2 linked regions of the Tribolium castaneum genome follow. Each later gene encodes a partner of the first gene's protein in a complex. Links are inferred from orthologs where the notes say so. Each region holds a gene or a part of one and is shown in the gene's direction. Other genes may lie near its edges. The genes, in order: gry and trafficking protein particle complex subunit 12.

What was found.
Region 2: gry (region 1) and trafficking protein particle complex subunit 12 share a complex: the UniProt entries of both Homo sapiens proteins name them as parts of the multisubunit TRAPP (transport protein particle) complex. The link is inferred for Tribolium castaneum from reciprocal best matches to the Homo sapiens genes TRAPPC11 and TRAPPC12.

The regions. Positions count from the first base shown.
Region 1 is NC_087395.1:23,291,242-23,295,065, forward strand, and holds part of gry (trafficking protein particle complex subunit 11), read left to right. Parts: intron 1-532; coding exon 533-703; intron 704-752; coding exon 753-886; intron 887-936; coding exon 937-1,144; intron 1,145-1,186; coding exon 1,187-1,389; intron 1,390-1,438; coding exon 1,439-1,628; intron 1,629-3,824. UniProt on the Homo sapiens protein: Involved in endoplasmic reticulum to Golgi apparatus trafficking at a very early stage.
Region 2 is NC_087396.1:17,554,008-17,558,486, reverse strand, and holds the start of trafficking protein particle complex subunit 12, read left to right. Parts: upstream 1-1,437; 5' UTR 1,438-1,575; coding exon 1,576-1,875; intron 1,876-1,921; coding exon 1,922-2,098; intron 2,099-2,147; coding exon 2,148-2,486; intron 2,487-2,532; coding exon 2,533-2,867; intron 2,868-2,912; coding exon 2,913-3,144; intron 3,145-4,479. Other genes in the region: Dlc90F (dynein light chain Tctex-type), read left to right, coding at 1-176. UniProt on the Homo sapiens protein: Component of the TRAPP complex, which is involved in endoplasmic reticulum to Golgi apparatus trafficking at a very early stage.

The DNA.
Region 1 (3,824 bases):
GCCGTTTTCAAAGAATAACCCCGCATAAAAAATGAAGGATCTAAGTTGACAGAATTATAACAAATAAGGTTTTTTGCACTCAAACACTCGAAAAAAGTACAAAACCAATCTTTCGTCGAATTTGAATTATTGAAAAAAAATGCGTAAAGATGTAAAGTTTGTTTTAATTATAAAAAATATTGTAGTGATTTTTTTAAATCCGGCTCAAAATGCAAATTCTATTGTTTAAGGAACCGCCAGTTTACACTTTTTCAACTCCATAACTCATCAGCCTTATAACGAATTGCTACAAAAATAAACGAAACTCTCTGTTTGAACTAAAATATATCGCACTGTAATTGATTATTATTTGAAGTTTTTGTGGGCGTGTTGAATTTTTGCTTCCGGAGGCAACCATACAAAACCAAACTTACGACTTCCATTTACTGACACAGTTTATCGTTTATGTAAATATTATCAGTACATAAAATCGCAGGAAGCGACTACAAAAGCCATATATTTTCGCTTAAAATAAACGAATCTCCAATTGTAGAACATCATAGCGCTGCCCCAACCGCACCCCTTAGAAGGGGCAAACAGTATGGAATTTTACGGGCAGAGGCCCTGGAGGCCCGGAAAATTATCGGCCGAGCCTCCCGACCCGCAACTGGAATCGAACGGAATCCAGGCAATTCAGTATTTGGAAAAGCAATTTGCGCACTCTGTACGTGGCAAAATCCCCCGATCATTATTTACAATTTTTGTTTCAACAGAACGCAATCGTTTCGCTCTATGGCTTGGCCATTTCGCAATACAAGACGTACAGATGCCCTCGGACGAGGCGCCACTTGGTGCTGCAAATGGCCGAGGAATATTACAACTCTCACGATTTCGGCAAAGCATTGACGTAAATATTTGCCATAAGTGACGGATTTCTATTTACACAGTTATTATTAGTCTCCTTACCCACATGCTGTGGGATTTTCGGGCGGAAAACTGGTGGCTGCTCTTGACGGATATTTTAGAGAAGGCAATCAGATGCGCTTATTTGACGGCAAGCGTCCAGGACTACGTCCTACTGAGTCTTGAAATTTTGGGGAAATACAGTAAGCTGAGCGTTGAGCAGAAAAAGCGCATCCATGAGAATCTCCAAAGGATTTTGAAGGTAAGGAGGCAACGAAAAGTATCGATTCCACGAAAAATTTAGAGACAGATTCCTTTCGGGGACCAGAAACTAACCCCCGATGTGTTACAACACGCCGTAATTCAGTGGCAGCCAAAGCTGCAAACCGAGCCGATTCACCTCTCGCTCGATTTGGGAAATGTCTCGACTTGCATTGAAACTAAGGCAACTTTCATGCAAGCGAAATACGAAGTCGATCAAAACGTTACGGTTGAAGTCTATATCAAGTACTTGAATTGTAACGTAAAAATTACAATTTTGATAAATTCGTTTAAGATGCTCGAGCCCCCTGCCTCTAACTTTCACAAAAGTCTCAGTCACGATCAATACTCCGTCGTATAATTGCGAATATGCCGTTGATAATCAGAATTTGAGTTCGAATTCTTTGGAGTTCGGCTCGGATGAGACGAAACGATTCGTTATTGATTTTGTACCCGACTCGAACGACGTCAACAGCGAGATCCAAGTGAGTTGGTGACTTTGCCAGCCCAAGTAACAATTTAAATGCTGTTTGTGAAGGTAGTTGCTGTAAAACAGCTCCTACAGATCACAAACTAAATGATAAAACCAATTTAACATTATACAGCTTGAGATTTATCACAGTTATTTAATTGTAATTGCCTTGGAGTCGTCTTTAAAACTTTTTACTTCCAGACAATCTTAACTGGTCAGGTCAGGTCAGGTCATAATTCCTAAGATAGTTTTAACAAAAGTTTTATAATACTCTTATAATTGCCAGGTGGTAGTCGTCTTTAAAACTTTTTATTCTCAGACAATCTTATTTGGTCAATAAATGAAATAAAATAAATAAATAAATAATTTGTTGTAAGAAAATACATATTTGCTTCATACACACTCACTGTAGTATTGAGAGCTGCGTTGTTTCGTGTATTAGTTAAAAGGCATTCTCTGGCAAATAACGGTTGCTCTAACGGCTAAATAGGCTATAGCCTGAGACGGTAAAAATATTTTGATTTTGATTTAAAAAATATCTAGTAGAAGATGGGTTGCATTTTTTTTAAATAAATTGATCACATTTTTAGTTTTCGTCGTATTTTTTTACCTTTAATTATTTATTGTTTAGTTAATGAGTTTTAAGAAGCAGTGTATTTTTAGTTTCAGTTCATGTTATAGTAGAAAATTCACGATGAGTAATTGTAGAAAAAACCTAATTAGTACACAGCACAGAAAAATGTCTTTATTATAGAAAAAAGTTGTAAAAATGGCTACGTTTTTTTTTTTGAAATAATTTTTTTTTAAATAAATATAAGGTGATTTTTTAATAGATATCTTGGTAAAAGAAACATTAAACAATCTGATGCATGTTTGGTGACATTACAAAGAACTTTTTTTTTTAATTTAGTTTTCAGAACTATCTTGCATTTTTACGGAACTTTTACTATTCGTAGAACTGGAATTTCTATTTTATTCAAAAATAGACTAATGAAAATAAGTAAAAAATATTTACTAAATTCTAGAGAAAATCAACCGACGAAAGAATGAAGTTAAAAACAGATACATATTTACTGACTTGTCTTTAGCTGGCTCCAACGCACGAACATTTATAGAATTTGTTTGATGTTAGAATTTTTTAATAGTTGTACATGAGTACAACAAAAAAAGTCCCTCTGTCAATAAAAATTGTCTTTTCTTAGAGTTTGTGAATTTTTCCTTATTTTCGGAATGAACCAATTTTTTTTGAAGAAAAAAATTTTATAAGGCAGGGGCTGCAAAATTAAGTAAATATGGATTAATTATCTCAGCATTTAATTGAAAATTAAACCAACTCTACGTTGAACACAGTTATAATTTCTGTCGGGAAATATTTAACTAAATACTACCTTATAAAACCATCTTGAAACTAAATGGTTTTAAAAAGGTTCTGTATGGCACTTTATGTTTTATCTAAATATTTATAGTCTTTATTAAATTAAAGCACTTTATCTGTAGTCTAAGTTGTCTTATAGTGGTTTTTATTGGCTTTTATTGAGAGTAATTTTTTTATAAGTAATTTTATATAGAAGATATAGTTTTATACGTTTAGTAGTCATATTTTACTGCTGTTAGAGTTAAAATTAAAAAATACGCACTTTCTAAACCTTGAAGAAATTGTGATAATTTTTGTTTTTTTTTCTTTTCTCAGCAGTAAAACTTAGTTGTTATCACTTTAAAAATCAGTTTAAAGAATTAACGCAGATTTTTTATATCTATAAAATAATGTTTTTACAAATGTGTATATTTTCGGTATTTATGAAGGGCGTTAAAATTTTACAAGTTCCTTAATAAATTCCATCAAAAGCTGGCCGTCGTTTCTAAATTTTCTACCTCGATATCGTGTTTTAATAGTTTTTAAAAGGGATAAAAGACAAATATAATAAATACGTAAAAATAAATACAGTCTTGTGCTCCGAGAAATAATTTCTTATAACAGTATTGAAACATAAATTTTAAAAACGAGTTATCTAAACTTTTATCTTTATTCCTGCAATAAAACCCTTTTCAATCCCAATGCTCTAACACCAGGTTTTATAAGACACTTTGAGCATGTCTTAAAACCATTTTAAAACTATTTAAAAAAAACAAATTAGTTTTATAAAGTTTTTAAAGACTAGACTTGACAACCTCCTGAAGAGTGGGCCTTTTTTCATTTTTCCTATCATTC
Region 2 (4,479 bases), on another chromosome or scaffold:
AATTGATGAAACCATACAAGTACATCGTGACCTGTACCATAATGCAGAAGAACGGGGCCGGTTTGCACACCGCTAGTTCGTGCTATTGGGATAATAACACGGATGGGAGCTGCACCGTGCGTTGGGAGAACAAGACCATGTTCTGCATTGTATCAGTATATGGATTAGCTATTTAAATATTTCAACAAGTAATTACAGTCATGGATTTGCCTTTCAAGAATAATTTATCGTATTTATAAGTTTCTACTTGATAGTGATTGTTACGTATTAATAAAGTCATTTTTTTATTTGGATTTTGTCATATTATTTACATTTGAAACTACAGTTGTTAGCTGTTTCAAAAATATAAAAACGCCAACGTCGCATTCTCTCTCAAAATTAGCTGTTATATTATTCATGCATTTCAAAAAAATAACAGCTTTGTTCGCGGTAGCGATCCTGAACTAGTTCCAGCTCTAGTACGCTGAATCCCGGATCGGTTCAGAATTAGTCCCAACGATCCTGGGACTCGACGAAGGATTTTTAGTTCTAGACGTGCGCAGTTGAAAGCGGTTTTGTCTCTGTTACTCTCATGTCTTTGAATATTTTTGAGATTGGAATCAATATAAATAAACTGTCTGTTTTGATTACCGGAATTTAGTTAATACTTTACTAAATCGTAATTATTTGTATATAAAATAATGTTTGTAAATTTGAAAATGGGTTGTTTTCTACAATTTATACCTTTTCGTTTTAGGTTTTTCGAATAACTCATTTCTAACTTTGTTCAAATTTTTGTAGCTTGTTAGTTTTTAAACATTTGTTGTGTACTTGACAACGATAAATTATCGTTTGCGGTTGACTAAAATCCATAACTGGTTCAGAACCGCACATGCGCTGTAAATAAATCCTGGACTACTTCAGAATTAGTTCTAAAAATCCTCCGCGAACAAAGCTAATAAATAGCTAATACAATTTCTTCTTTCAATGAGAGATCTTAGCATTCATAACTATTTTACAGTTTTATCAGTCTTATGTAAAAAGATAATTCGGTAAAATGTGACGTTGCTTTTTAATTAAGCTGTATAAAAATGTAAAATAGTTATTAAAGATTAGATCCCTCATTGAAACTACGGACTGTTTATAAAAGAGTGTTGGCTCTCAGGTGGTTCTGTAATTTAAATTTGCCGCATTTAATTATTTTATTACTATCAAATTTCTGAAAAGTACCAGTAAAACTAACATTGTTCGTTTTTTCTTGAACAAAACGGCAAACTTCTGAAACCTACTACGATCCTACATTCATTTATAGACAGATTGTATAAATTACATTAGCTATTAATTTTTTGAAGGGCATGAATAATTTAGAACAGTTAATTTCGAGGGAAAATGCGACGTTGGTGTTAATAATAGAAATAGAAATTCGCGCCATAAACCCATTTCAAGTTTTTCTACGATTGGCTACAGTGGATGTCAATGTCACTAATAAAAAAGTCACTCGCAAATGTCAATAAACGAACGTAAACAGACTTTCGTCGTATTTATTTATTATAAGTTCGTGTAAAGATCGAGGTATTTAGTGAATAATTGCTAGACATGTCGGAAAGCGTGCCCCCGTCCTTGAGTCAATACTTCGGCGAAAAAACCGACGATAAAGTAAAGACAATAGACCTATCCGAAGAACTAAATGAAGCTTCCACAAAAATAACCGATCTTAAACTAGATGACAATCTCCCAAGTGCTAAGAAAAACGAACCAGAAGTGTGTCGAATATTCGCCGAAACGCCACCACAAGCCAAAGATCAGACGACGTCATTCTTCGATTTAATTGGAAACAACCACAGCGTTACCTCCAACGGCTTGATATCAAACCTCGACATAACGCCAAACAACGACGTGAGTGACCTAATTGTGTGTTCCACAGTTTGGTAAATTTTTCTAGGACGGTTTTTGCCCCAGAGTGGCACTAGGCTCGGAAGCAGACCGCAGGAGAGATGCCTGGATACCTAGCGAGAGGACCAGACAATGTCTCATTGCGTGCGCCACGGCAGCCCCCGGTACGTATTTTCCAGACAGGGAGCTCCTCACCATGCCTGGGGTCCTGCTAGAAGAGGATTTGGTATGTTTGCTAAATAGTCAAAGGGGGAAAATTAAACTTATTTAAAAAGGGGGACAATATCGGGGAAGCAGTCACCTTGTGTCTTGGGGAGGCCGAAGCCGCGCAACGAAGTATCTTGTCCGAAAGCGACGTAACGCAGGACGAAAGGGGACTGAGAGAGTTAGTACAAGCGGGTTCATACCGAGCCGCAATTAATTTAACTGCGAGACTTTTAACCATTTACGGCCAGGGTCGGGGCCGCGCGGGCCATCCTAGCAAACATTCGCCCCATTCGTTACAGCTGTGGTTCACTCGTATCGCCCTTCTAGTCAAAATCAAAGCCTTTGCAGTTGCTCAATCGGAAGCTGCCCCTTTTGGTCAGCTCGACAAGCCGGACGTTTTCTACCAGGTCTCTAGCCACAAATCACCTTCGACCACTTACCGCAATTTTACAGTTTTACCCCGAGATGTATGGGGGCCGTCCAGGCTCCATCGCTTCATTTTCATTTCGTTTACTCTTAAGCGAACTGCCAATGCATTGCGGTAAACCCAAAGACTCGTTAACAAAGCTGTACAGTATGAAGTCCACGATAAAACAAATGTTGGATAACTTGAAACAGGGCTTGAGCGAGGACGGCAGCCCTATCGAAATTAGTGAGTCGGATCGCACCGATTCGATTCGACTTTGGACGGGGCGCGAGACTCGAGTCATGCACTCTATTGTTAATTGTGCCCTGGCCTTGAAAGATTATGAATTGGCAATGGTGATGATGGAAGAGTTGTGTCACAGGTGAAAAATAGGCGAGGGAAGAAAGTTTCTAATGGTGGGTTTAAGGGATGGGACGGCACGTCATATGTTGTATTCGGCGTTAGGAAGGTTGAGACTGCAAGTGGGCGACGTGGCAGGGGCGGAGACTTGTTTTGATGAAGCAAGGGCTTTGAGGGGTAACACGACGGATTTGAGGGAGTATGTGGATCGGGGGTTGCTCGCTGTGGCGCAGAATTCGTTTGATGAGGCCTATGTCTGCTTCCAGCAAGCCAGTCTCCTGGACCCCACAAATGTTATGGTAAAGTTTTTTTTTTGGTCCCTACGTATTAGCGCCAATGGTGTATGTAGATTCACAAAAACAATTCCATGTTATTCCAATTCGTTCCAATTATTTTCAAAAATGTACACCTAATAAAAAAGTATTACTAAGAAAAAAGAAGCGGCCGAATTTCGAGTGGCATTCGAAAAAGTTAGCAATAGACCTGTTATATTTTCAATAGTGAGTTATCTTTAGAGTCAAATAACTCTGAATTTACCTAAACTTAATGCTCGACTTAATATTAGTTAAATAATGACGGTTCTTTGAATTACTACCTTAGGTCTGAGTTACAAAAATTCTAAGTTAACTTAACAGAGGTTATTTCGAAGTTGTTTTTTTTTTGGCTTTAATCTGAAGTTTCTTTTTAACTCGAAATTAACTCGACATTGTCCTACTTTACCTAAGATTCTAATAAACTATGTTACTTAACAAAAAATCATTGAACGTATATTAATAATGTGATAATTATTGTTGAATAAAATTTTTCGAAATTTCTTTTGTTTTCGAGTGATGCAAAATTTTATTTATTTATTTTTTTAATGGTTAAGTTCAGAGTAAAACCTTCGCAAAACACTGGTTTGAAAACATTATTGGATTAAAAGTAATTTTTAATCTTTAACCAAAAAAATCGTCCTACCTTTAAAAACAAATAAATACGGTTTCGCATAACTAGAAAACTAAAAGGAAAATTTTATTCTTTAAAAATTATCCACAATTTTAACAGATTTGGTAGGTGATGATCATATTCTAAATTCTATTTTTTTCCATAAAGTAAATAGTTATAGAAAGTCGATTCAAGCTTTTTTGTCATTTGAAACTTTTCGCCGTATTAGAGGAAATATTGTAGAACGAGTTTTTAGCTGAAAATAGCGTAACTTTCGACCATGGAAGGCCCTTTCGACATGATATTGTAATTTTTTTTTGGGCGTGTTATTAACTTCTTTTAGGGAATTTATGCGAAATAAGTGAGTTTTTTTTTGGCTGAAAAAAGTACTAAAACCCTCGAAAAATTACATTATTATTTATTATTATTTATTATTTCTTCTGTTGTGCAAAATTTAATTTTTACACTTTTGGTTTATAAGTGTGCTCAAGCATTTGGGAACAGCAAAAATAATAATAATTTTATTAAAAGTACTAAGATTTCAAAAAAATGTAGGTGGTGATATGGTTATGCACTAGTGTATTTTTGTTAATATCTTCATGTTAATAATACCCACATTATTTGGTTTTGATAACTTAGATTATTATTTATTTTATCAATAAAAACGAAAACAAAAAACAAAACTTGCTGTGTGAATTTTAACATCAACC